Linked DNA regions of Cricetulus griseus. The protein of the gene in region 5 purifies or fractionates together with the protein of the main gene of each other region. This does not show direct contact. Links are inferred from orthologs where the notes say so. Each region holds a gene or a part of one and is shown on either strand. Other genes may lie near its edges.

Evidence for each region.
Region 1: the proteins of Zmynd8 (region 5) and Mta1 purify together in Homo sapiens (affinity purification with mass spectrometry; 3 studies listed by BioGRID and IntAct, with this or other methods). This does not show direct contact. The link is inferred for Cricetulus griseus from reciprocal best matches to the Homo sapiens genes ZMYND8 and MTA1.
Region 2: the proteins of Zmynd8 (region 5) and Csnk2b purify together in Homo sapiens (affinity purification with mass spectrometry; 3 studies listed by BioGRID and IntAct, with this or other methods). This does not show direct contact. The link is inferred for Cricetulus griseus from reciprocal best matches to the Homo sapiens genes ZMYND8 and CSNK2B.
Region 3: the proteins of Zmynd8 (region 5) and Kdm5a purify together in Homo sapiens (affinity purification with mass spectrometry; 3 studies listed by BioGRID and IntAct, with this or other methods). This does not show direct contact. The link is inferred for Cricetulus griseus from reciprocal best matches to the Homo sapiens genes ZMYND8 and KDM5A.
Region 4: the proteins of Zmynd8 (region 5) and Mta3 purify together in Homo sapiens (affinity purification with mass spectrometry, with the first as the bait; 3 studies listed by BioGRID). This does not show direct contact. The link is inferred for Cricetulus griseus from reciprocal best matches to the Homo sapiens genes ZMYND8 and MTA3.
Region 6: the proteins of Zmynd8 (region 5) and Znf687 purify together in Homo sapiens (affinity purification with mass spectrometry; 4 studies listed by BioGRID and IntAct, with this or other methods). This does not show direct contact. The link is inferred for Cricetulus griseus from reciprocal best matches to the Homo sapiens genes ZMYND8 and ZNF687.
Region 7: the proteins of Zmynd8 (region 5) and Mta2 purify together in Homo sapiens (affinity purification with mass spectrometry; 3 studies listed by BioGRID and IntAct, with this or other methods). This does not show direct contact. The link is inferred for Cricetulus griseus from reciprocal best matches to the Homo sapiens genes ZMYND8 and MTA2.

What each region holds. Positions count from the first base shown.
Region 1 is NC_048598.1:180,921,368-180,924,867, reverse strand, and holds part of Mta1 (metastasis-associated protein MTA1), read left to right. Parts: intron 1-1,927; coding exon 1,928-2,002; intron 2,003-2,337; coding exon 2,338-2,396; intron 2,397-2,710; coding exon 2,711-2,826; intron 2,827-3,093; coding exon 3,094-3,245; intron 3,246-3,346; coding exon 3,347-3,500. UniProt on the Homo sapiens protein: Transcriptional coregulator which can act as both a transcriptional corepressor and coactivator. Acts as a component of the histone deacetylase NuRD complex which participates in the remodeling of chromatin.
Region 2 is NW_023276806.1:231,642,975-231,647,118, forward strand, and holds the start of Csnk2b (casein kinase II subunit beta), read right to left. Parts: upstream 2,801-4,144; 5' UTR 2,652-2,800; intron 2,099-2,651; 5' UTR 2,088-2,098; coding exon 2,016-2,087; intron 1,501-2,015; coding exon 1,398-1,500; intron 625-1,397; coding exon 509-624; intron 131-508; coding exon 55-130; intron 1-54. UniProt on the Homo sapiens protein: Regulatory subunit of casein kinase II/CK2.
Region 3 is NC_048601.1:24,449,586-24,453,085, reverse strand, and holds part of Kdm5a (lysine-specific demethylase 5A), read left to right. Parts: intron 1-462; coding exon 463-642; intron 643-1,522; coding exon 1,523-1,684; intron 1,685-2,190; coding exon 2,191-2,742; intron 2,743-3,081; coding exon 3,082-3,225; intron 3,226-3,500. UniProt on the Homo sapiens protein: Histone demethylase that specifically demethylates 'Lys-4' of histone H3, thereby playing a central role in histone code. Does not demethylate histone H3 'Lys-9', H3 'Lys-27', H3 'Lys-36', H3 'Lys-79' or H4 'Lys-20'.
Region 4 is NC_048598.1:85,409,490-85,412,989, forward strand, and holds part of Mta3 (metastasis-associated protein MTA3), read left to right. Parts: intron 1-1,875; coding exon 1,876-2,024; intron 2,025-2,814; coding exon 2,815-3,037; coding exon of another isoform or gene 3,038-3,060; exon of another isoform or gene 3,061-3,148; intron 3,149-3,500. UniProt on the Homo sapiens protein: Acts as a component of the histone deacetylase NuRD complex which participates in the remodeling of chromatin.
Region 5 is NC_048599.1:13,607,232-13,610,731, forward strand, and holds part of Zmynd8 (protein kinase C-binding protein 1), read left to right. Parts: intron 1-1,213; coding exon 1,214-1,723; intron 1,724-3,500. UniProt on the Homo sapiens protein: Chromatin reader that recognizes dual histone modifications such as histone H3.1 dimethylated at 'Lys-36' and histone H4 acetylated at 'Lys-16' (H3.1K36me2-H4K16ac) and histone H3 methylated at 'Lys-4' and histone H4 acetylated at 'Lys-14' (H3K4me1-H3K14ac).
Region 6 is NW_023276806.1:61,486,012-61,490,213, forward strand, and holds the start of Znf687 (zinc finger protein 687), read left to right. Parts: upstream 1-1,402; 5' UTR 1,403-1,540; exon of another isoform or gene 1,541-1,574; intron 1,575-1,725; exon of another isoform or gene 1,726-1,841; intron 1,842-1,904; exon of another isoform or gene 1,905-2,045; intron 2,046-2,851; exon of another isoform or gene 2,852-3,320; intron 3,321-4,202. UniProt on the Homo sapiens protein: May be involved in transcriptional regulation.
Region 7 is NC_048596.1:51,152,048-51,156,174, reverse strand, and holds the start of Mta2 (metastasis-associated protein MTA2), read left to right. Parts: upstream 1-1,327; 5' UTR 1,328-1,780; coding exon 1,781-1,808; intron 1,809-2,081; exon of another isoform or gene 2,082-2,134; intron 2,135-3,298; coding exon 3,299-3,366; intron 3,367-3,803; coding exon 3,804-3,897; intron 3,898-4,127. Other genes in the region: Eml3 (echinoderm microtubule-associated protein-like 3), read left to right, coding at 1-83, 330-460, 546-749. UniProt on the Homo sapiens protein: May function as a transcriptional coregulator. Acts as a component of the histone deacetylase NuRD complex which participates in the remodeling of chromatin.

The DNA.
Region 1 (3,500 bases), on a different chromosome or scaffold from region 5:
GGCACCCTCAAGACTTCCCGGCTGCTTGGACTCGTTTCTGTTTTGTTCTTAACTAAGCTGACCCTCCCTCCTGTGTGCAGTGCCAGCCAAGTCTTTACTATGATAGAGCCTAAGCCCTCAGAGCCCCCCAGCTCCCCAAAGGACTGAAGAGTGGGATCATGTCTGTATGAGCTGAGGCAGCTGGGCCACCTTCCCCACAGCCTTGAGGAGATAGGGTTACTAGCATCCAGGATGTAGTGAGTGGAATATGTTACCCACTGGAGTACCGTCAAACAATGCCGATAACCCCAGCATTCAGGAGACTCAGGCAGGATTATGAGTTTGAGACCAGCCTGGGAAATAGTGAGAACCTGCTACAAACCCACAAACAAACCCAGTAGCAAGCCTAGGCCAGGGTGGGAGAGCCAGGAGCGTGCAGGGTGCTTACTCAGGCATAGGCAGAAGGGCTGAGGGAGTGTCTGTCTCTGGGAGGCCCAGGTGCTGGTCACTCCCATGGCCCACAGAACCCACAGTCTCTGCTGGACAGCCTGGCATGTAACTGGATTTGAAAAAAAAGTACAAGCTTTTTAGACAAAAAGTAGAATGAGAAGAACGGGACAGAAAGAAAACAACAGTGGAACAGAGCTGGCAATGTTTGAGGGGGGCTGGGCGTGGCTGCTACAGTGGGGGACAGCCCTGCAGAATCTGCACGTTCCTAGATGCAGTTCAGCAGGTAAACTGAGTCTGTCAGAGACCCAGAAGAAAGGGCTGCAGAGCCACCTGCTAGAGGGCAAGGCCTGCTGGCTAGAGGGCCAAGTGAACCAAGTACAGAAACAGGATTCTGCACAGAACAGACAAGCCCACCTTCTGTGTCACCCGGTGCTGTCGTGGGTCTGCTCTCAGGAAATGGTTCGTGTAGATCAAGCTGATAGATATTAAAGAAACAAAGTTTTCAGGTGACATTTCTAACCATCATGCCAGCCTTAAAGACTGAAGCCCTAGCCTTGAGGCATAGCTCAGTGGTAGGTAGGATGCTGGCCTTGTATAGGCAAGGCCCAGGGTTTGATCCCTAACACTGCCAGAAAAACAACCTGTTGAGCCCTTTTTAATTAAAAGTGCCATTTTAGCCTGGCATTGGTGGCGCATGCCTTTAATCCCAGCACTTGGGAGGTAGAGGCAGGCGGATCTCTGTGAGTTCGAGGCCAGCCTGGTCTCCAGAGCGAGTGCCAGGACAGGCTTCAAAGCTACACAGAGAAACCCTGTCTCAAAAAAAAAAAAAAAAAAAAAAAAAAAAAAAAAAAAGTGCCATTTTAAACAGCAGCTTGAGGTGTGAAGACTAAACTTCAGTCATTTGGCCTGAGGCTTAGGCAGCACTGGAGGGAGGGCAAGGTGAAGGGGCTCTATACACTGCTATGTGCTGAAAGATAAAAGCCACTCCAGCCCCTCAACACTGAGCTAAATACGAAGGTGGAGGACAACTAACCCAGAGAAGCAGCAAATATGTCTTTCCAGCTAAGGTGAAGGGCAGCCCGACTGCTGCAAGGGGTCTCTCCTCCTGGGTGGGCCCCCTTGTGCACCTGAGAATGGGTAGCTCGTGACACCCATCAGTCCATGGTCCAGTCTGCCTTTGGCAAGAGACCTTGTGCTACGTTGTCTCCTGGCGGGAGGCAGAAGGGCAGGCAACGGGGTCTGCCCATCTTGTCCTCTTCGTCTCTGGTCCTTGGTAAGGACAGAACCAAGTTCTTGTCGTCTTGCTCAGGTCCCAGACTCAGACATAATGGAAATGACTCTAGCGTGGGTGTTGAGGGGAAGGTCAGCCACACACTCCTGTGGTTAGCACTGAAGGAGGGGGACCAGAATTGACCTCCCAGCACTGCCCTTGCCACCCTGCTCCCTATCTGGGCAGTAGTCCAGTTCCTACCACCCATGATGCCTTGTCTCACCCCAGCTCCCCTGGAAATCGCTCACCAGCATCATTGAATATTACTACATGTGGAAGACGACCGACAGATACGTCCAGCAGGTGGGCCCTCCCCACAACCTACCTCGTCCCTCCCCACAGTCTCTGTGTAGTCACATTAATTTGTTCCCAAAGACCTCCCCCTAACCCTGGAGCAAAGAGGAAGAAGCCATGGTCTCTAGAGGATGCACAGACAGGAGGAAGGGACATTCCTGAACCCTAGCCACCTGAAGCCTCCACTTCCTGGCCCTAGGATGGCCAGAGAGAGCCATGCAAAATTTTCTCGAGTCTTTCCCAGGGGAGCCAGTGATGGAGAAACAATGATGTTCCCCTCCCTGTGGTCTTCTAGCTGCCCTGGCCAGCCTGGTGACCTTCATAACCCTCTGTTTTGTTTTAAGAAACGTTTGAAAGCAGCTGAAGCGGAGAGCAAGTTAAAGCAGGTTTATATTCCCAACTAGTAAGTCCATTCCTATGTTCCTGGGGGCCATTGGTGGATGGGCAGTGACTGTGGGGCTCTTAGGATCCACTGGGGTCAGGCGGCCTCCTGAGCTAAGTCAAAGAACCTCCATCACCCTTTTCATGAGCTTGCTTAGCTTGGGAGGAGGGGTCAGGACTCGAGTTCCTTTGGCCTAGGAGTCAAGCTGGGTTTAGTGCTCAGCATATTGGGGCATGGGGTGTGGCAGCGAAGACACAGTGAACCAAGGGGACAGGGATGTCTGCTGGGATACAGACACTGCAGGGCACCTGTGACTGATCCTTCTCCTCCATCAGTAACAAGCCAAATCCAAACCAGATCAGCGCCAACAGTGTCAAGGCCAGTGTAGTGAATGGCACAGGGACACCAGGCCAGAGCCCCGGGGCTGGCCGGGCCTGCGAGAGCTGTTACAGTAAGTGCTGTGCCTGGCACCCACCCTGGGCAGCAGGGGCCACGGGAATGCTACTTCGTGGCTGTGGTGCTCATGGGACCTCTGAAGGCCCCTGTGCCCAGACCTGGAATGACTCGCTGCAGTGGTGCTGCCGGGGGTGGGGGTGGGGCTAAGGGGGTGGCGGGGGTGGGTGGGATGAGTGTGGTGGCGGTGGGGACACTGTGGGATGCTCTCTGCACCGTTGGTTCTGCTTAAGAATCCGTCTATCTCCAACTTTGTTGTCCGTAGCCACACAGTCTTACCAGTGGTATTCTTGGGGTCCCCCTAACATGCAGTGTCGCCTCTGCGCTTCTTGCTGGACATATTGGAAGAAATACGGTGGCTTGAAAATGCCAACCCGGCTAGATGGAGAGAGGCCGGGACCAAATCGCAATAACATGGTAAGTGCGGCATGCCATGCTTGTCGCCTGCCGCAGGTAGGCCTCAGGCCCTTGGCCTCTAGTCACGGTGCTGTGTTGGGGTGGTGTGCTCCGCTCCACAGAGTCCCCACGGCATCCCAGCCCGGAGCAGTGGGAGCCCCAAGTTTGCCATGAAGACAAGGCAGGCCTTCTACCTGCACACTACCAAGCTGACACGCATTGCCCGGCGCTTGTGCCGTGAGATCCTACGCCCATGGCATGCCGCGCGACACCCCT
Region 2 (4,144 bases), on a different chromosome or scaffold from region 5:
CCACATCAACCTGACTGGCAAGTAGTGCCCTCCTCTCCCCTCTCCAACACTCACCGATGGGAAGCATTGGCTGGTTCTCACAGTACACACGAGGACAGTAGCCAAAGTCTCCCTGCTGGTACTTTTCCAACTGAGGTGTGCAAAATGGAAGGGACTGGTGAGTACGTGTGCAGAGCACCTCACTTCCCCACCTCCCAGGCCTCCCACCTCTAACTAGAAGCCCTTCTTTGTCAAGACAGGTCCTCAAGCTTCCTTCTCAACTGCTTTCCTCAAGTTGGCAGGCTGCAGAACACAAGGGCCATTTGCTCTCTCTGTTCCCTATCCATGGCCTCATCTCCCTCCCTGAAAACAATACCTTCAGTAGGACCCTCAGTGAGGATTGGATTCTCAGCCCAGCTCTGGGCTTCTCCTCGTCTCCTCTGCTAGACTTCTTGACAGGTACGAAACATGCCTTCTGCCTCATGCACCTGTTTGTCTCACTGCCTCAGAAGCAGGAGCAGAGCCTCACCATTTGGGCGATGCCTCGGTTGGTGAGGATGTATCGGGCGTGGATCAACCCATAAAGCATCTCCGCTGCCTGTTCAATCAGGTCACTCTGGTTGGGGTTGTCTTCCAGCTCTTCATCTGAAAGGTGGGATGGCCACTTGTACCCCACCTTATCCCCAAGGTGGCCTCCTACAGTTTATCCAGCACCTGTTTCTGACACACCCTATCCATCACCCAGGCCATCAGCACTGCCCTCTCTCCACACCTCTCTAGTCTCTGCCAGCTTCTTCCCCTTCCCAACACATAAACATAATTGCAGAGGGTGGCACTCTAGACCAGCAGGAGGAAAGCAGCAGCACACAACACACCAGAAGACTGGCATTGTGAGAGACAGTGGAGTTACATTTGGAGAGCATGGAAACAAATGTTACCAGTCCCTGAAGGCAAGGGTCAGGTAGGGAATCAAAATAATGAAGAAGCCAGGCAGTGGTGTATGTGCCATACAAAACCCAGCACGTGGAGGCCAAGGCAGGAAGAGCAAGTGGTAAAGTCCAGTTTGGGTTATGAATGGAGAGGAGAGGTGGGGGAGAAAACACATAAACAAACAAACAAGCGAGCAAGAGACTCGGGAATAGACAGAAGAGCTAGAGAATCAAAAGGAAATTTAGAAATTCAAGAAGCGGTTGGGCAGTGGTGGCACATGCATTTAACACCAGCACTCGGGAGGTAGAGGCAGGTGAATCTCTGTGAGTTCAAGGCCAGAGAAACCCTTCTGGAAAAACCGAAAAAGAAAAGAGAAAAATTCAAGAAGCAAGCGAGCAGAGACCAGAATAAGAAGAAACCAAAGCACACACAAGTGCACATATCATGGACCCCACACGCAGCGACGGCCCTGGGGGCAGGCACGTTACCAGGCTCCAGGTCCAAGATCATGTCTAGAGCTTGCCGGTAGTGAGGCACTTGCTCATTGAGTCCAGTCAGATTAAACTTGTCCTGGATGTAGTCCTCATCCACCTACCGGGACAGGGGAGTCAAGAGGTTGAAACTAGTGTGGGAAGCCCCGTCTTTCACCTGGCCCAGGAGACAAACGACCGCATCGGCTCCCCTTGTTTCCTATTCTCACTTCTGCAGAGGTGTTCCGTCTCCCACAGAAACCGCAGCTCTCTTCTTTCCGGGCCAACAAGGTACAGCGCATTATTCAACTTGTCTCCCTCCTCTAAAGGACCCGGGTTTGCTCTCTGCTCTGGGACATCAGACTCTCACAGGCATTGATCATTTCCTACGTTACCACACTGTGGTTTTCATGTTACATGAAACATTTTAACTTTCCTGACGGTCACCAGCGATACCTCTGTTAGCCATGCACAGAGTGAACCCCAGCGCTCAGGAGACTGAGGCACTAGGATTGCCAGGAGTTCAAGGACAGTCTGGGCTACACAGTCAGCTTCGGGGGAAATCTCATCTCAGACAACATACAACGAAAACACCGAGGGCACGTGGAGAGGGCCCAGAAAGCCAGCTAAACTCACCTCACAGAAGAACTCATTACCACGGAGCCCACAGAACCAGGAAATCCAGGAAACCTCCTCAGAGCTACTCATCTTTACGTCGGCTGAGGAAGAAGGGCGTTAAGTGGAGACCAGGCTGTTTCTTGGTCTCTTCCCTCCTCCCACACACACGGTCTCCTCAACGGCGGAGGAATCCGAGGCCACTGGCGTTGAGTGGCCCCGGCCCGTGAAGCACCGCTCTCCACGCCTCTCTTCTTTACCTCAGCCCCCCGACAGCGTGGTGAGAACCAGCTCCACTCCTTCCCAGGGGGTGACAGGTCCCGATCTGTGGGTGTTGCCCGGCGCGAGGCCAGGCCCCGGCCCCCCGGCCCCCCGGCCCCCGGCCGCGCGCGGCCCGCGCGGCCCCACCGAGGCACTCGCCTGGCGCCCGTCCCGAGGCTTCCCGAGTCCATCCTCCCCCCCGAGCCCGCCTCTCGGGGCCTCGCGGCGCCGGCGGGAGCCCCGCACCCCCGCGGGACCCACGAGCGTCCCCACAGCCGCTCCTCTCCTCAGGCCACCCGGCCTCCTTCGGCCGCCGACCCGGTCCCTTCCTTCCTCGCCCCCACATCTCGGAGCGCGGAGCCCGGCGCCGCGGCGCGGGGACGAGCGCAGACTCACCGGCCGGACGGGGACTGGGACTGGGGCGGGGAAGGGGAGCCGAGCTTCGAAGGAACCGCAGCGACCGCTACAGCGCAGGAAGCCGAGCGGACCGCGGCAGGCGAAGTGGGGAGGGGGGAAGGGGAACTGGGGAGGGTGGGGAGGGAGAGAGGGCAACGCGCAGGCGCCGAGGACCGCCCCTGCCCCTAGGGACGCCGGGAAATGGAGTCCCGTAGAGAGGCAGAAAGTGACGCGATGCGGGGACGGCGAACCACCAATCCCAAGAGTCCGCGCGCATGACTCCGGGGTCGCGAGGCCCTAGCGGAAGCCGCCTGGGGGCGGGGCGAGCCGAGCCTCCACCGGAAGCGGAAGCCAGGTTACAGCCGCCTTCCCGACCGGGAAGCCTGGGAAATATAGTCCTACGCGCTTTGGGCTCGGCAGGCTGCGAGCCGGCGCCGGCGGCCGCTGAGGTCCCCGCTGCGCGCCCGCTCCGTCCCGCTCCGGTCGTCCCTGCCGCCCCGGGGACTGACACCGTCGCCGAGGACCAGGCATGCGGCCCGGAGGTGCGGCTCGGAGTGCGGGGCTGAGGTCGCAGGGCTTGGGCTGCCGAGCCGGGCGGCGGGGGCGGGGGACCTGCTGCACCGCCCCGCGCGCTAACCTGAGGTGGCGCCTGCCATTCTGCCGCTCATCCCTTTGCACTTCTCCATGTGTTGCTGCTGCTTGCTGCTGCTGCTGCTGTTGCTGCTGCTGCTGCTGCTGCGGACCCCACGTGAGCTGCTTGCTCTTCGAGCCCTGCTCGGAGTAGCGGTGAGGGGCGCCGTGGTGTTAGCGCGTCTCGCGGCTGCCCGGCATCCCGCGGCTCCCTGGCGTCCTCAGGCCTCCCGGCTCCACAAGAGGGGCTTGGAGCGGGAGGGACCACGTCGAGGGTGGCGAAGAGCATTGTGGGGGCGTTATGTAAAAGTAGGACCCCAACCGACAGGTCCCCCTGGGCCCTCGCGCTGTCTGGGCACGCGATGCCTGACGCGGATGCTTGGGAAGGTTCCAGCGCGGGAAACTGAACCTTGTGGGTGTTTTGTTGTGGTTGGCTGCTGCGCATGCGTCTCTGTGCCAGGTGGGTGTCGGATTGTGTCAACTCTTGCAGATGACGAGAGCGCCATTTTTCGGTACGGAAGTGACAGTGCAACGCTTTTACCCCGACACCTTCTGGAATGATGTCACGCCTGTTTTTCTTTGGGAAAAGGAGACACCCCCCCCCAGCCCCACGTAAGATCGAGCAAGATTTAAAAGTCCCGGCCGATATTCCCTAACGGTATGTGTTACAGGGTGGGAAAAGGTTTTCAGAGACAGCCTGCTGTTTTTGTTTGAAGGGAGAAGGGAGTAGAACGCAGGGCCCCTAGACAAGTGCCTGGGGGAACATTCTTTCCTATTATCATTTTTTTTTTCTTTCCTGTTGTAGAGATAGAACCCAGACCTCCCAAATTCGAGGCGAGCATTCTACAAAGAACCTAATCTAC
Region 3 (3,500 bases), on a different chromosome or scaffold from region 5:
TATTTATTTATTTATTTATTTATTTATTTATTTATTTATTTTGGTTTTTCGAGACAGGGTTTCTCTGTGTAGCTTTGGAGCCTATCCTGGAACTCACTCTGGAGACCAGGCTGGCCTTGAACTCAGAGATCCGCCTGCCTCTGCCTCCCTAGTGTTGGGATTAAAGGCGTGCGCCACCAATGCCCGGCTTAAATTAATTTTTATAAACTTTTTTTCTGTAAAATTTGGAATTAAATTCATTAAGGTGAACAATTGTTGGTTTAGCACAAAATTTAGCGCTATGACTAAAGATGTCCCTTAGTGGTACAGTGCCTGCCTGGTGTACGAGACTTGGGATCTATTCCATGCTTAGTATTAAAAAAAAAAAAAAAAAGTTAATATTAAACCAAGTTTCCCCAACAGTACATTCATTGCCAGACTCCATGAAAGAATTAAAATTGTGTGTGAATCTACTTTTTCCAGAGTGGCAGCAACTATGCTTATTTGGAGCAGCTTGAGAGCTTATCTGCTAAAGGACGCCCTATCCCTGTTCGTCTTGATGCTTTGCCTCAAGTGGAATCACAGGTCGCAGCAGCAAGGGCCTGGAGAGAACGGACTGGGCGGACCTTCCTTAAGAAGAATTCCAGCCATACATTGTTACAGGTGAAGAATAATGCATATGTGTGGTCTGCAGCGCTCTCATAGCAGTTGACAAATCCCTACCTGTAGTGGTGTTGGTGAAGATTCTTTTCAGTTAATTTAGTCATTATTATAATTAATTTCTATTAATTATAGAATTAGGTAGTATTAGGTGTTGAATTGAAACCTGAAGTCTTAAGCAAGTTCTTTTTTTTTTTTTCTTTTTTGTCTCATTAATCTGTGCTTGTATCCAGAAATAGCAACCAGCATATATCTTAACCTCTGTTAATAGACTCTACTAAAATGTTTTATCCCTCAGAGACATAAACTTAATCCTTTTTTTTTTTTTTCTTTTTTAAGATTCTATTTATTTATTATGTATATAGTCTTCTGCCTGCATGCCAGCAGAGGGCACCAGATCTCATTCCAGGTGGTTGTAAGCCACCAGTTGTGGGGAATTGAACTTGGGACCTCTGGAAGAACAGTCAGTGCTCTTAACCGCTGAGCCATCTCTCCAGCCCAACTTAATTCTTTTTATCCTGAGCAGTTGAACACAATAGTTAAAGATGACAGACTTTGGAATTTCAACCTTTATCCTTGGACAAATTATCCCTTGTCTCTCTTATCAATAAAATCTGGAAAATAATGCCTGCTATGTACAGTTGTTATGAAAATATAAACAGATAACATACATGGATCCCTGGTGTGGCTGAGGTGAGAGGTTCACCACAAATTGTAGGGCAGCCTGCACTACAAAATAAGATCCTGCTTCTAAAATATGAGAATAAATAGTTACTTTGTACATGGTGAATGATTCATTCATGGTCACTTTCACTCTCAAGGGTTTTAATTTGTTTTGTTTTGTTTGTTTTTAACTAGAGTTATATTTTTTTCAATTTTGCAGGTGCTAAGTCCCCGAACTGACATTGGTGTATATGGGAGTGGTAAAAACAGGAGGAAAAAAGTAAAAGAAATAATAGAAAAAGAAAAGGAAAAGGACCTAGACCTTGAGCCTTTGAGTGACTTAGAGGAAGGACTGGAGGAGACCAGAGATACAGCCATGGTGGTAAGGAACTAAGTGATGGGCCTTGAATTTGTTTGTGAATGCAAAGCTCTGTGAAAGATGTTAGTAGTAGGTTTTTAACTGTTTATTTACCTGTGTTATTTATGGGTGTGTGTGTGTGTGTGTGTGTGTGTGTGTGTGTGTGTGTGTGTGTGTGTTAGTATTAAAAGTTTGCTGTTTGTTCTCTTCCCCAAAGGGTTTATTTTTCTTTTTCTATTCTTTCAATAGTCTTTAAGTCCAAGAGCCAGACTTGGATTCCTGGTACCTTGGTACCAGGTGCTTGGTGCAAGTGCTTGATCTGAAGAAATACCCTCTTTGTCCTGTGCCCTACAGAGAGTACTCTCATATAAAATGTCAAATATTATAGCAGTTTGTCATTTTACAGATGAGAAATCTTTATGTGGAAACTGGAAGGGTAACCCACATTTCAGGAAATTGCCATTGGCGTTCTTGGATACTTTGTGGGTTTTTCAAATTACTCTCCTTAATTAAATGCTTGTTGTATACAGGTGGCAGTTTTCAAAGAACGGGAGCAAAAGGAGATTGAGGCCATGCATTCCCTCAGAGCAGCCAACTTGGCCAAGATGACAATTGGGGACCGCATAGAAGAAGTAAAATTTTGTATTTGCCGGAAGACAGCCAGTGGGTTTATGCTACAGTGTGAGCTCTGCAAAGACTGGTTTCATAATAGTTGTGTTCCCCTTCCTAAATCAAGTTCCCAGAAAAAGGGATCCAGCTGGCAAGCTAAAGACGTAAAATTCCTTTGCCCTCTTTGCATGAGATCTCGAAGGCCCAGGCTAGAGACTATTCTGTCATTGCTGGTATCCCTTCAGAAGTTGCCTGTACGGTTGCCTGAAGGAGAGGCACTTCAGTGTTTGACAGAACGTGCCATGAGTTGGCAAGATAGAGCACGGCAAGCCTTAGCCACAGATGAACTGTCCTCTGCCCTGGCCAAACTCTCTGTGTTAAGTCAACGTATGGTGGAACAAGCAGCTCGAGAAAAAACTGAAAAGATTATCAGTGCAGAGCTCCAAAAAGCAGCTGCTAATCCAGACTTACAGGTCAGCTTCTAATTTACTTTCTTGTGTTTCATGTAGTAGTATTTCTCAGTTTTTGACTAGTAAATTAAACGGATTTAACTTGTTTACTTAGGTAGAAAATTGGCTATAATTGGCCAGCAGTTATATGATCCATAACATTTTCTTCCTTCTGCATACATGGCCTTACTTTTCTTCAGGTCATTTCAGTGAAATACTATCTGAAAATATTCAGGTAGACTATAGCATTATTTATTTTCTTTTAGCTGCTTTTTAAGTAAGTTAGTTATATTTTATTGATGTTAAACATGTATTAATTACCTGTTTGTTTAATCTGTTTGTCTGTTCATTTTTGTTGTTTAGGGACATTTACCTAGCTTCCAGCAATCAGCTTTTAACCGGGTGGCGAGCAGTGTATCATCTTCCCCCCGCCAAACAATGGACTATGATGATGAGGAAACGGATTCTGATGAAGATATTCGAGAGACATATGGCTATGACATGAAGGTAATTACAGGGGCAGGCTAGGAATACATTTCTGGTGAGTTCTATTTTTAAAACTGCCGACCATTAATACTTGAGGACTGAGGGTGGAAGAGAAACCTACTTACATATTAGTCTTGAGTAAGTGGTGATAGCAGTTTTTCAAAACTTAAAGGAAAAATAAAAACTGAAACTTTAAAAAAAAAATCTTATGTTTGTGGTGAAGTGTCCCTGCTATGGCTATTACAAGGTCAGAGGATAACTTGGCAGATTCAGTTTTCTGCTTCTACTATGTGGAT
Region 4 (3,500 bases), on a different chromosome or scaffold from region 5:
CCTGTGAAGCCCAGTGTGGCCTCTAACTCACTATCCTCCTGGTTCAGCCTCCTGAGAATTTAGAATGTGCCACCACAGCACAATGACATTTCTTCTTTATGTGCATGTTCCTAAGTGAGTACACATGTGTAACGACAAATCGTTACACATGTGTGTGCAGGTGGATGTATATATGTGCGTGTACATTTGTGTAGGCTAGGGGGATGACCTCAGGTGTCCTTATTTATATTGAAACAAAGTTAATTTGGGGGCTGGAGAGATGGCTGGGTGGTTAAGAGCACACACGGGTCTTTGAGAGGACCTTTTTGGTTCCCAGCACCCGTCTTAAGTGTCTTATGACCACCTGTATGTAACCTTAGCTCCAGGGTGTCCAACACTTTTTGGTCTCCAAGGGTATTTGCACTCATATACACATACATGTAATTAAAATGTTTTGATAAAATCTGTCTTAAAAAGTCAACATTATTGTTTAAGTTAAAAGAGAAAAGGGGGTTAGGCTTCTCTTTAAAAGCATTTTTCCAGCCGGGTGTTGGTGGTGCATGCCTTTAATCCCAGCACTCAGGGAGGCAGAGGCAGGTCTCTGTGAGTTTGAGGCCAGCCTGGTCTCCAGAGTGAGTGCCAGGATAGGCTCCAAAGCTACACAGAGAAACCCTGTCTCTAAAAACCAAAAAAAAAAAAAAAAAAAAAAAAAAAAGCATTTTTCCAAGAGTAGTATATGACACCTGGGTGGTGGTGGCAGCGGCACACACCTTTAATCCCAGCACTCAGGAGGCAGAGGCAGATGGATCTCTGTGAGCAAGACCAGCCTGGTCAGAGAGTGTTCCAGGACAGCCAGGGCGACACAGAGAAATCCTATCTCAAAAAACAAACAAAAAAAGAGTGGCACACAATGAATGTGTAAATTATTCTGAATTCTATAAAGGCAATTAAATGTAATAGCCACTATATTTTCTCTCTCTTTTGGGTGGGTGGCAGTAGGGACCAGACCTAGGGCCTTTGCGTGCCATCGAGCCATATTCCAGCTCAGCCTTTCCCCTTTTCCTGTTGTTTGTGAGGTGTTCCTTAGTTGGCACCCTCCTGTGCTCTCTGGCGGCTTTGCCCACATGGAGGTAACTTACAGCAAAGGGGAGGACCACTGGCAGAGTTAGCATCATAGTCTCTACCTTCGGTTTTAACTACCTTTCACCACCACTGTTTCTGCCTCTCTCTGCCTCTGCCATGGGAAGCTTTTGGTGTTTTGCGACAGGGTTAAGCTGCAGAACCTGACACAGGCCGTGTGTCCAGCCAAGCAGTCAGTCTGCTGGGGTCAGGCCTTACCAACCATGATACCATATCAGCCGAAGGTGCTTGCTCAGCTGATGGGGACTTACAGTCTTCAGGGAGAAATTCTAATAAGGTTTTTGTTTCCTGAGTAAAGGAACTACAGATGGATTTCTAGTTTTATCTGGTTCCTGACTTAACCAGTAAGTCCCCTCTTGAGTAATTTAGCCATCTTGGCAAGAGCTCCTGAACCATACAGTTCAGATTTTAAACACTACCAAGGAGCTTAATAGCCATAATATCCTTCGGAAGACTTATTTCTAGACATGTACATAATGAAATCACTTTTAATTAACAAAACAAAATCTCAGCAGCCTAAGCATAAATCAGGATGTGTCATCCAATAGCGTCTCTTAATAGACGAGACAAACACTGATGTGTGGCAGAAACTCAATGTGTCCAGAGTGCTGAAAAATGCTTGTGTGTGTGCTGTGCTTCCACGCTTAGCCGACAGCCTTGGGAACACTGTAAACTGGCTGTGGCTTCAGGGTGCCTCCAAGGTTTCAGTGTATTGAGACCACGACTTTCATAGTATCTCTTTCCCCCTGTCTTTAGCCACACAGTCTCACCAGTGGTATTCCTGGGGCCCACCTAATATGCAGTGTAGACTGTGTGCGACCTGTTGGCTGTATTGGAAAAAGTATGGAGGTCTCAAAATGCCCACACAGTCAGAAGAACAGAAGTCTCCCAGTCCTTCTGCAGAGGTACGCAAGTGCACTCTTTGTGGGGCGAAGACGTCACATTTCCCCGTTACTGGCTTCTTCTTGGAAGCAGGGATGCTATACAGAACAATTTACAAATGAACAGAGCTGAGTTTTAGAGTTAAACACAGCACTGCATACTTAGGGTGGGTGTGAACATGGAAACAGAGGGAGACCAGTCGGATTTTTCTTTTTTCAGGTATTCAAAATATTGGTCTCTTGAGATTATTCAAACAAAAGAATAATGTGTGTGGGAGGCGCTTGCCTGAGTGGAGAGCTTACAAATAGTCTTGTTTTTAAAAACAATTTGTAACCTTTAGGTACTGTTGGAAACATGTTTTTACATAAAACAACAAACAGGAATTAAACATTCTCTTCCCTCCGCTGTTGTGGAGGGACAAGAAGAGCCCCATCTTGGGTGAACAGTAATTGAAGGATGACCGTGGTCATCCTCATAGACTCAGGATGTCAAGTGCCAGTGTCTACCAGAGTGAGGCTAGTCTCTGTCTGAAGCCAGCCAGCTCTGGACTCCTCACAGTAAAACCCAGCAGCATCTCACTGATAGTGCTTGTGGGCTGGGATTGCGCGCCACCCTGCCATGTTGTACTCCCCACGTTCTTTACAAATGCTCACACACGCTGCTTTTTCCTGGGATGGGGCTGCGATTGTTGAGATGCAGTGCTTCTCCCTGGGATGGGGCTGCAGTTGTTGAGATACAGTGCTTCCGAGGCGGGAGTAGCCGTGTGCTCCATCAAGTTCCCCTCTGTAAATCCCGATGTTTTCCACATTGCAGGACCCACGTGTGAGAAGCCACCTGTCCCGGCAGGCCATGCAGGGCATGCCGGTCCGGAACACTGGGAGTCCCAAGTCCGCAGTGAAGACCCGCCAAGCTTTCTTCCTCCATACTACGTATTTCACGAAAATTGCTCGTCAGGTCTGCAAAAACACCCTGAGGCTGCGGCAGGCAGCGAGACGGCCGTTTGTTGCTATTAATTATGCTGCCATTAGGGCAGAATGTAAGACGCTTTTCAATTCTTAACCTTACACGTTCGCTCCTCTCACCATCCTCTCTTTCCCCTCGCTCTCTCTTTTTGTTTGTTTGCAATAAACATAAGTTCTTGTGTACAGCCTTTGTTTTTTTTTTTTTAAACATTGTTCTTGTCTGCTGCCATTTATATCATGCCACCCTGAAAACACAACGTTGAAATCCCTGGGAATTTTCAGAGTAGAGCTAATCAGAAGGCGGGGAAGGTGACCTTACCCAGTGGACTTTTGTGACACAGTGTCCAAAGGGACCTTAACCGAAGCACTCTGCCTGTTTGGTAGTGCGGCAATGTAAACCCAAGGGGTTGTCTTATGATAAAATTCCCTGCTGAGTCAGCACAGTCCTGTCTTAAGGATTCATTAGGTTTGAATAAAATACACTAATTAATACTAGCTAGTCTGTCTTGGCAAACCTCTTACATTCCCAGGAACCTC
Region 5 (3,500 bases):
AGTGCCAGGATAGGCTCCAAAGCTACACAGAGAAACCCTGTCTCGAAAAAAAAAAAAAAAAAAAAAAGAGTGGGTCATTTTCCCAAGGTCCCACAGATAACAGTTCCTGTGCCCTGTGCTGAATGCTTGCCTACCGCTAATACACGCCTCTGACTGCACCTTCGTTTCAGACCTCATGTTTTCATGGTTGTTGGACCCTGGGGAGTCCAATACTGTTCCCCAGCAACTTTGCTGACCAACTGCCTGTGTCTTGGCTCTTCATGGCTCTTGCCCTTCCTGAGTTTTTCTTTGATGTGTCCAGGCCATTGCACTGGAGTGAAGGCAGTATGAAGAATTGACATGGTTTTCATTCTTTTGGGTTTATTTGTTCTTATTTGCCTACTGCCTGAGCTGGAAGCATACATGTACCTTGTGTGTGTGTGTGACACCTGCTATTCTGTCTCCTTTGATGAGCATAGACAGGTGTAGTTTTCTCTTGCCCCTTGGCAGCGGAAGGACAATGCATTCACATGAGCACCTGAGGCTCTGCAGGCGCACAGGGGGCCAGCTAGAAGGCTGGGCTCCAGGTTATCTGGACACCTGCCTCCACTTAAGGGGTGCAGCAGATTCCACCCTTGCCTGTCTGCTGCTTGCTGCTCGCAGATCCCACAGAGGGTGGTTCCCATGCTGTGTGCACAGAGCCACTACCTTGAGGCCTATGAGAAATTTTTTGGTTGTGACTTGGGTAGAGAATTCTAATTAAAACAAAACAAAAAGACAATGCATACAGGTAAGCCAGTGCTGCCCAGATGGTTAAGTATAAGGGAAGATATACATGGGCCGAGCAGTGGCTGCCATGCTAAGGCTCTGGCCTTCTGGAGCCCTAGACACAGGCAGAAGCCTGCCTGTTCACACTTGGGTGGAGTGCTGGGTCAGGAGCCTAGGCTTCTTGTTTGGTACCCAGTAGATTTAATTTGTGCGTAGACAAGGGCTTCTCTGGGCCCTTATTTTAATGGCTCCCCCATCTCCTCATCAGTCAGTGCTGCAGACTTGACATAAACCTGGCAGTCCGTAGGTCTGTCCTGTCCCTGCTTTTCTTGGATCTTGATTGTACCCCCATGCCCCCTTTCTAGCTGTCCCCATTAAGATGGGGATGCCACTTGAAGGGTGGGAGTGTGTATCCCTCCTGTCTTTCTTGCATAGCTAAGCTGTGCTGGTTTCTTTTTGTCCTTAGGCATAAATGAGATCTCAGAAGATGTTTACACAGCCGTGGAGCACAGTGATTCGGAGGATTCCGAAAAGTCAGAAAGCAGCGACAGTGAGTATGTCAGCGATGAGGAACAAAAGCCCAAGAATGAGCCAGAGGAACCTGAAGACAAAGAGGGGAGTCGGGTGGACAAAGAGGCCCCCGGTATAAAAAAAAAGCCAAAACCTGCAAACCCGGTAGAAGTCAAAGAGGAAGTGAAAAGTAACTCTCCAGCCAGTGAGAAGGCAGACCCTACACCCGCCAAGGACAAGGCAAGCCCGGAGCCTGAGAAGGACTCAGTAGAGAAAGCAAAGCCATCTCCTCACCCCACAAAGGACAAACTGAAGGGAAAAGATGACACGGATTCCCCCACAGTGCATTTGGGCTTGGACTCCGATTCAGAGAGTGAACTTGTCATAGATTTAGGAGAAGATCCTTCTGGGCGGGAGGGTCGCAAAAACAAGAAGGAGCCCAAGGTGCCCTCACCTAAGCAGGACGGTAAGCTACACACACAGCCTGTAGACTGTAAATTTTGTTTGGTGTTGATCAGACTCAGGACCTTGTGCTCTACCACTGAGCTATTACACCTGGTATTTGTGCGATTGCCAAGCCCAGTGTGACAGGGAGTGTCTCGGCCCCCAGCTTCTACAGTGGGAGCCATGGCCTGCACATGGGCCTGCTTGATCCTCAGCACAGAAAAGTTCCACGGTCACTGGTAGCTGCTTCTTATAAAGTTGATTTTGGCCTTAGGTCTGCCTGCTTAAGGTTTTACGTGGTTGAATTGGACCTGGAATTATATAGCCAAGGATGGCTTTGGATTCTCCCACCTCTACCTCCCTTGTGACAGACCACTATATACATACACACACACACAACTGAGCTACATGCCCCCTCCAGTAAACTTCCTTTTTAATATTCAGACATTTGGGTGGGGCTCAGGGATCAAGGGCTCTCTGAGTAGAAAGATCTAGAGGAAGCTTCCCCTTCTCTTGTGCCCTGCACGGGCAGATATATTTTCCTACTAGAAGTAGAATCCATTAGGGGTTGTGGGGCATTGAAAATGGAAGAGACCTTGGTCAGCACCCTCTGGGCAAGATAGTCTGTCCTATGTGCATTGAATGTACCTGAACCAATTCTTTGTCCCTTTCAGTGAAAGTGGTCTAGGTGCAACTCTGGCCTTTAGCCACTAGATGGCAGGAGCACTTGCCTATCAAACATGCCTGTCCCTTTTAGGCAAAGCCTTCCGCCCTGAGGATCACCTGAATCTTTTCAGGCTTGTTGCTATTGTGATGAGCAGTCTGGGCCAGCACCGTCGGCAGTGGGCATGCTGGCGACTTCCCCAGAAGGAGTTGAGTAACAGCAAGTTTTTGGCTGGCCAGAGGACTCCAACGTCATTCAGCTAGGGCCCTGGAATGACTTAAGTACATGGTACAGGGTAGCCTTCAAGCTGGGTGTACTTGGTGAGGTACAGAGGGGTGTCATTTTGCACTGTGCTTAGTTTCTAACAGGAGCCAACTTCTCATCGTAACCCAGGAGTAAGGTATGACCATGTCCCCCACATTCTTGTAGCCTGGTGGCCTAAGGCAAGTCTTTGCTGTGCCCTGAGAGCCTTTTCCCTGTGGGGTGCCCACCTGAGGAGTCTGGAACCTCAGCTCTTAATCGAGACAGATTTCTGTGACCAAGGAAGAAGAAATGAGATACCTGTGCTGGGGAGGGGGTGAGGTGGAGAGGGCAGGGGATGTTCAAGCTGCCGCTTAGGCCAGTTGAAGGCATCAGAGTGCCGCCTGGGGTAGAATGGAGGTAGAGAAGTGCACACACCTGTAACTTCCTCCGTGTGAGGCTCACACTCCTGTGATGCTTAGAATCTCCCATTCTTTCTGATAGAGGCTTTTTGTGCTTGTGTGTGTGTGTGTGTGTGTGTGTGTGGGCCGAAGGATAACTCATGTCATTATTCATGGTGGCAACTTTCTTTACCCACTGAGTCACCTTGCCAGCCCCCAAACACATCTTGATTGACTTACTGTTTGCTCTGGCTTTGGGGAAATGTTTTATATACAAATAAATACTAAGGTAGGCATGATAATGCACTTGGAGGTAGAGACCAGTGAATAAGGAGCTCAAGGTCAGCCTCGGCTTCTTCAGACCCTGTCTCAAACAGAACAGACCAAAGAAAACCCAGACTGTCCCAACTTCGGGGCAATCACAGACAAGAGTTTCCATTGCAGTTGTGAGCTTCTTAGCAGGGAAAGCAAAAAGAGAAGCATGGTTCCTTAAC
Region 6 (4,202 bases), on a different chromosome or scaffold from region 5:
TGTGAGCTGTGGCCCCTGCAGAGAAAGATGGCCGGTGAGGTGGAGGCTCCATTCATCTGCTTGTTATTATTTTATAAATAGGACCTCTGCATTCCAAGCTTTTCATCCTTGCAAAACTAATCTTGGCAGGTGGATATTATAATTTCCATTTTTATTTTTTCATGAGACAATAGGTTCAGGGAGGTAGAAAGACTTGCCTAATGCCATCATGTGGAATGTGGTGGTTCCAAGATTCCCGTTGTAGCCTTAATAGTCACAAGCTCCCAGGCGGCGCCTGAGATTTCTGAGACCAATGCTAGGAGGCACAAGGGAAGGTTGTGCCTCCTTTTAAAAGCTTTACCAAAACTCTGGGCCTGGTGGCGCAGCAGTGTAGCCCCAGTTACTAGGCAGGCAGGACAACCTTGCTGAAAAGCCGATCTCAAAAAATGAGAGACAGGGTATCGATTCAGCGTTTAGTGCATTTGCCTAGCGTGTGCGACTCTCTAGGTTCATTCCTCGGTATCGCTACAACAAACACAAAACTTGACACGTCGCAAAGTTGGTGGGTTGCTCGCACGGAAAGGGTGAGGACGCGGGTTAAAATAACACACAATCTTTAAAAGCCCTTGCCGTCTGGAGCGGCTGCGTTCGCGGCGGGCGGCGGCGGCGCGCGGCCAGGCGGTAGAGCGCGCGCCAGGTGGCACACTGGGCTTGCAGATGGATCCCGCGAAAGCGTGCAGATGGGAGAGTGTCAAGGCGATTCATCTCCCCGGCAACCCCGCCCCCTTCCCCGCCTCCAGGGGGCGGGGCGGCAAAGCGCGGGAAAGCTCAACCTCAACAGGAACGCCAGCTCGTGCCGGGGGCGGGGAAACAGAGGCGGGCTCCCGCCTTCTCCCGTCTGAGGGGCCTATCAGCACACTACCTTAAGCTCTTTGGCTGTGGCCCAGGCCACGCCAGCACTCCCAACGTCACCTCCCCCACTTCCGGTCCGCAGCGCGTCCCAGGTCCCGGGTCCCGGGTTCCGGTTTGCCCGACACTCGGAATCCCGCGGCCCGTGCGGCTCTCCCGGAGGGAGGGGGAGGAGCCGCACGCCCGGAGGCTGGCCCAGGCGAGGACCTCATCCACCCGGACCATACCGCAGTTCAGACACCGCGAGGACCGCGAGGGGAAGGGTCACCCCGATGACGTAATGTTTGGGGGTGGCGCCCCATTTTGTGAACCCTACACCGCGTCCTCGAGGTCGCGGCTTAGCCTGAAGAAACGTCACGAACGCTTGAGACAGCCGGGTTCCACTCGGGGCTGACGAGATTCCCTGAGGCTCCACACCGCTCGAGTCCCTAAGTTCGCACACACGCGGCCCAGCGGCCGACAGAGCGGGGACGGCCACGCTTCTGGGCTGGTCACCGCCGGCGTCCCAAAGCGGAGACGAAGGCAGGCTCTGGCTTAAGCGACAGCGGCGGTGGCCAATGGCCGCCGAGCTACGCAGATGGGGCAGGTGGACTCCGGAGTGGCCAATGAGGAGAGGCGTCTCCACAGAGCCCAGCCCCTTCGACCAATCGCGGTGAGGAGACGATGAGGGGCCAGTTCCGAGCTGGGTATGGAGGGCCAACCCCGTGCGGGAGTGGGCGGGGCTCAGAGCCGATGGACGGGGCCGTTGGCCAATGGCGAGTATGAAAGCGGGCAGCCCGGTCCCGGGGCGCGGAGGGAGCTGAGGGAGAGGGGAGGCCGAAGCGGAGAGAAGCAGGAAGTAGTGGCGGCCGCGGGGGGCGGCGGCGGCGGCGGCGGGCGCAGCGGCGGCGCGGCGGTGGTGGCTGGGACCGGGTGAGGCCGCGGGGTCTCTGCCCGCACTAGGATCGGAACAAGTAAGCGTGCTCGCCGCAAACACCCGCCCTTGGCTCCGCCCCCCGGGGGGGCGGGTAAATGCCCCTGCCCCTCCCCCACTTGGTCAACTACCCCCTTCCCCGCGCCGCCCCCTGGGGCGGCTGCTTGCCTGTCGGGGTCGCAGCCTGCATCCTCGAGGACCGCTGTGGGAACTCAAGTCTGTTGAAAGCACTGCCCCTAGCCTGGTAACGTGCGAGGGGGGTCCGGGACCCCTAAGTCCTGGCTCTCCTAGACCGAGAGGCCATCGGAGTGCGGCCGGGGGACTGGAGGCTGCGGGATGTCGCGACCTAAAATGGTGTCCGTGCCGGGCGGTGGGGGCGGGGGAATTGGGCCCAGCCATAGCGGAGCCTACATCCCGACCGGGTGCGGGTCAGCGTCCGGGCCCCTGCGGGACTCACGCTGGCGCCCCGAGCCCGCTGCGCGCCTTGCAATCGCTGGGGTCTCGGGAGAGCCTCTGAGGGTCGGAGCCGGGGCAGGCTGCGCGGTGCGCAGAGGGGAAGGGGACCAGGTTCGAGTTGGGTCTGACCTGGCTGCAGAGCTTAGAGTCATTCAGGGACCGCCCCCTCTTGTGTCTCCACTCCCCTCGTGCCACTCCCCACTGCCGGGGAGTCCTGGCCCCCGATGTGCAGCGCCGCAGATCCAAAAGGGCCTGGCCAAGGCCCTGCCGTGAGTTCTTAGCCGATGAAAGTGAAAGAAGCACCACTCGCCTCAGTTTACCCTCCAGTTTTTTTAATGTACTTCTTGTCCCCTACCCGAAACCCCGGGCTTGCTTCCCGCGCCAGTCCCTGGCAGATGGCAGGCACTTAATGCAGCCCGTTGCCCAGCTTGGCCGCAACCTAATCGCCCCCGGCCAGGCTCTGGCCCCTTGGCTTTGCTCTGCGCAGCAGGCCTTGGGCAAAGGGCAGTGGAGCCCCCACCCGACTCGGGTCTGTTCACCCTCTTCCTGTTAAGCCCCTTCTTTTTGTTTTTGGGGAACAGAGGGAAAAGGGGGTTGTGAGATGGCAGCACCAGAGGCCTGGCAGCTGAGTGAAGGATCTTCATCGGCGCTAAACCTCTCTGCTTGGCCCGCTGTCTGCTCCAGGTGGCTATCGGATGACCTCCAAGTCACTTGCACGCCCGAGGGAGGTGGTTGGGAGAGGCCAGTTCGCAGGTGTTTCCTAAGTCCCCATTGGTTTGTACTCCACCGACCCACTCTGCTGTGAGGTTGAGTGGGAGAGTAGCCCAGGTCTCCCCACCTGACGCAGCCGAACTGAAGAGGGACCTAGCAATTCATCTGGGCAGAACTAAGGGCTTTGTTAAACCCAGAATGTACAGAATTCAGTAAGGGGGTAAAGTGCTAGGAGGACTCCCCTTTCTTCCTCTAGTTGGTACCCTTGCCCCCCACCCCCACCTCGGTCCGTGCAATGCCAGCTGCCACCTGCTGGGACTATCTCCAGTTACAGTCTGAAGGCTGGAAAGAGGTGAGAGAATTGGCCCTGGGAAATGGCTTGCATCCTGGGCAGGGAACATGTAAAAGGGAGTGAATTTGTACTTTTCTCCATTGCTTCTTCCTACAGAAATACTTATGGTTTAGAACTGATGGAGGTTAGAGCTTGGGTCTCCATAGTCTCTGAGTTGGCCTTGTTGCTTTAGTGACACATAAGTCTTGTGGGACTTAAAACGCCACCCCCACCCCCCAATCCCTCCTGAGCCTGGATAAGGTTGGGGAGACTTCCTAGGCTACTGTTGCCCAAGAAGTTGGAGTTTGAGTTAGGAGATAGACTAGGTGAGGAGCTCAGAGTAGAAATGACAGTGGGAAAGAGGAGTTTTTTTCCCATTGTGGCAGCTATGTGGATCAGCTTGTACCCTGGAGTTTTAACCCTGGGAGAGCAAGGTGGGGGAGAGAGGAGGGAAGACACTCTGGGGAAGATAGGTGAGCAAGCAGCAGGTGTTTGTGACAGCAGAGGACTCAGCTGGGGCCCTTGTGGATATGCCCCTCCCTTTCTTTGCCTCTTCAGAGTCTTATTCTTTCTCCGTTGAATTTATTTCTCCCTGCTGACCATGCTAGAGCTCCGGGTGCCAGGAGTGGCTCCAGGTCTTTCACACATGACTTTAGATGGCCTCTGACTCTTATCTCTGACCCTAGCTCTAGGTGGCCAGTGTATATTCCTTCCCAGTGCAGCCAGCTCCTCCTTGACCTCACATGTCCTTAATTTGGCCCAGCTGCAATAATAAATTGTCTTCTGGGTTGGACACTCATGCATACAATTTTATGTTTCTAGAAGAACTTTGATAAATGGATTACTTGTTCCCTCTTTGAAACAGCAAAAGTAAGGCAATGAAGTAACTTGCTTGAACAGCAG
Region 7 (4,127 bases), on a different chromosome or scaffold from region 5:
CTGCAAGCTTCTAAGGAATCGCTATGAGAGCAGAGACCGGGAGTGGGCTACCTACACCTGTGTGCTAGGCTTCCACGTGTATGGTAAGTAGTGAAGCCAGCATGCAGCCGAGCCCTTTAGCAGGGCTGGGAAAAGAAGGTGGAACCCATTCTTGGATCAGAATGTTGGGTGTGTGTCATGTGTCATGGCGGGGGGGGGGGGAGAGGCAAATCCAGGCCAACAGGTCCCTTTGGGAATGGAGAGGATTGTCTGGAGGTAGCCTGGAAATCCTAAGCACTGCAGCTCTAGGTTGTGGAAAGTGCCCTGGCTGAGGCTACCTGTTGTGTTAGGTGTGTGGCCTGATGGCTCTGATGGGACAGACATCAACTCCCTTTGCCGCTCCCACAATGAACGTGTGGTGGCTGTAGCAGACGACTTCTGCAAAGTACACCTTTTCCAGTATCCGTGCGCTCGAGCCAAGGTGAGTCTTTAGAGGACCGTTGGGCCCCAGTGGGTAGTCTTGGGACCCTATCACTGCTGTGACTGTACATTTTTTTCTGGTGCAGGCGCCAAGCCGTATGTACTCAGGCCACGGCAGTCACGTGACTAGCGTCCGGTTCACGCATGACGACTCATACCTCGTCTCCCTAGGTGGCAAGGACGCCAGTATCTTTCAGTGGCGAGTGTTGGGCGCTGGGGGCTCTGGGCCCTCTCCTGTCACGCCTTCTAGAACTCCCTCTCTGTCCCCTGCCTCCTCCCTGGACGTGTGATGAATGCTGGATGGTTTTGTCCCTCTGGTACTGTGGCCTTGCCCCGCCCTGGCCAAAACCCCTAGGACCAAGTGCAGCCCTTTTCCTGGGCTGGCTTTTTCTTTGATTTCAGTACATTCCCAGTTGCGCATTTTCCTGGAGGGGCGAACCGCCCCATTGCACACACGATAACGACTCGCTGGCTGAACCAGGCAACCCCAGCTCTGACTCCCTTTGCCTGGTGAGGGGCAATAAAAAGAAAGAAAGTCACCGCTTGGTGCTTTTGTGGAGTGCGGCGGTTGCCTCAGGGGCCCGGTAGGGTTGGGATGAAAGAAAAAAGTGCAGGGCGGGAAGGGAAAAAAGGAGCTCGGACCAAATATGCAAATAACAGGCAAAGCGGCTTGCAAATAACCTCAAGAAGCGCGAGGGTGCGCGCGCGCCTTGCGAGGCCACTGTCGGAGCTGCAGGGACACATAGAGTAAAGAGTTAAATGCGGCTCCCTGCCGCCCTCGGGGGCGGGGTCGAGCTGCAACGGAAATAACCGAGCGCGGGGCCGCGGCTGAGCGAAAAGAGCCGAGTTCCTTCCGGAAGTGGCCGATCTGCGGGGTCTTGCTCTCCGACCTGAGCCGAGCGCTGGGCCTTGTTCTCCGGATCGGCCGAAGGTGTTCCGGAAGGAGGCGAACCCGGACGCGGGCAGGGCAAACCTTCTCAGGGGCTGGCACCATACGGCGTCTGCTGGGACTCGGTGAAGACGCTAGGAGCCGGAATCTGTCTCCGGTCAGGCAGGAACCGAGCTCGTTCCGGAAGAAGCCGAGCAGACCGGCGCCGGCCTGGGTATCCCGGGCGTGAGGCTATAGCAGTGTCGTCGTGGTCTTCGTGCGAGCAGTGATGAACCGCGACGGCTGAGCGAGCAGAGGTGCCGGCTGCGCGGGCCCCATCGACACTTCCGCGAAGCGTCAGCCCCACGCTGGGGGCATCGTCTGGAGCTAAGCTTTACCCCCGCGAGCCTCCGGGTCCTCTTTGTGCGGCCGGAGGCCGCGGCGGGAACGGCCATGGCGGCTAACATGTACCGTGTGGGAGGTGAGTACACCGGGCGGAAGAGGTTGGGGACGGGACCAGGGAGACTCGGTGTCCGCAGGCGCGGGGAGCAACATCTGGGGTCGTAGGGGCCACAGCGCCGACCGGAACCGGAACCGAGACCTATGGTTCCGCGGCGGCGACGCTACTGGGAGCCGAGTCTCCCGCAGAGGCTTACCTACAACGATCGGTGCTCTTGAGTCTGCGACTGGATCCCGGGGTGGGAAGTAGGCTTGGTTTGGAAGGGGACTGAGTGACTGCGGGGCCAGCTGCGGGGAGCCAGTCGCTCAGGGGTTTTCTTTTCTTTGGCGGCTTGTTCGTTCACGAAGGTGAGGCCTGAGGTGGGGGGAACAATTTACTCAATTCTCCCACGCAGGGGTGCAACTCCAATGCAGAGTTGTGTGGACTACAGGGAAATCCTTGTTATCTTTTTCCCCCTCCTCTCTCACTTCTTGGTTTTTCGACTCTGTCTGTCTGTCTCTTTGGTTTTTCGAGACAGGGATTCTCTGTAGCTCTGGCAGTCCTGGAACGCACTCTGTAGACCAGGCTGGCTTCGAACTCAGAGATCCTCTTGAGTGCTAGGATCTGACTTTTGAGTGAGAATCTGATTTTAGCGCTAAGTGTTGCAAGGGTGGGAGTAAAAACTTTTCTCCCTCCCCCCCCGCCCCCCCCCCCCGGCTGTCTTAGAACTCAGGAAATAGACCAGGTTGGCATCGGACTCAGATCCACCTGCCTCTGCCTCCCTCTGCTGGGATTAAAGGTGTGAGCAATCACTGTCTGGATAATTCTTTTATTTCTTTTCTCGTTCTTTTTTTTTTTTTTTTCCTCGAGACGGTTGATACTTATTTTCTTTTGTTTTCTCGAGACAGGCTTTCTCTGTCTATCCTTGGCTGTCCTGGAAATTGCTCTATAGACCAGGCTGTCCTCGAACTGGAAGAGATCTGCTTACCTCGGCTTCCTGAGTGCTGTTGGCCACCACTGCCCAACTAATACTTTTCTTTTGCGGGGGTGGGGGGATGGGGGGTGGGGTTCGAGACAGAGTTTCTCTGCGGCTTTGGAGGCTGTCCTGGAACTAACTCTGTAGACCAGGCTGGTCTCAAACTCAACAGGGAACCACCTGCCTCTGCCTCCTGAGTGCTGGGGTTAAATGCATGCGCCACCACCTTCTCTAATACCTATTTTCTTTTCTTTTTTTTTTTTTTTTTTTTGGTTTTTCGAGACAGGTTTTTCTCTGTGTAGCTTTGGAGCCTATCCTGGAACTCGCTTTTGTAGACCAGGCTGGTCTCGAACTCACAGAGATCCACCTGCTTCTGCTGGGATTAAAGGCGTGCATCACCAACACCCAGCTATACTTCTTTTCTTAAGTCTTTCCTCTTGCACATCTCCACATCTCTACCTAGCATTTTGTCTTTTTTTGGTCCACCCAAATCCACTTTCTCTTCTGGGTGCTCTGGTTTTCTTCTGATCTTGTTTCTCCCCACCCCCTTCTACAGATTACGTCTATTTTGAGAACTCCTCTAGCAATCCTTACCTGGTTAGACGGATTGAGGAGCTAAACAAGGTGAGTGGAGCAGAAATGGAGCAGTTTCTTTCTTCTGGAGTCTAACTCCAAGTGGAAGGGAGAGCCAGCCTTACCTAGGCTTAGAGCCTATACAGGTGAGCGAGCGTTCATTCCATGTATAGAGCTGCTGAGAGCTTAGCTGAAGCTTTATCATTCTCACATCTGGGGATAAAAGAATCCTGTCTCTGTTGTTTTTTTTTTGTTTTTTTAAATATACAGTGTCTATTTTGCAGCCTTGGTTGCCTGGAACTTTCTGTGTGATCAGGTTAGCAAACTTATGGAGACCCATCTCATTGGTCCTGTAATTATCTTTGAATATTAAGTCTTCATTGCTGAGTTTTTGGCCTCTTCTACTTAAGTCCTTAGAGAGTGCCTGTTAGTGTACCTCCACTTTCAAATGGCTAATTTTCATTGCCCTGTTTTTCTTCCTTCTTTAGACTGCCAATGGCAATGTGGAAGCAAAGGTTGTCTGTCTCTTCAGGAGAAGGGATATTTCTAGTAGCCTCAACAGCCTGGCTGACAGTAATGCTAGTGAGTGTCTTCATTCCTTCCCCTTTCCCCCCTCCCCAGGATCTGAGGACTAGACTTGTTCCTGCAGGTGTTTCCCCTGGTAACACGCCCAAGGCAGGGTATGAGTTTGGAGGTGGGAAGTGCCTGGTCTGCAGAGCAAGGCCTGTTGTTACATGTTGGGGCTGGGGCTGGAAGCCGGGTGGGGAGACCATGATCAGAAAAGCCAGAATGTGGTGTGTGTGTGTGTGTGT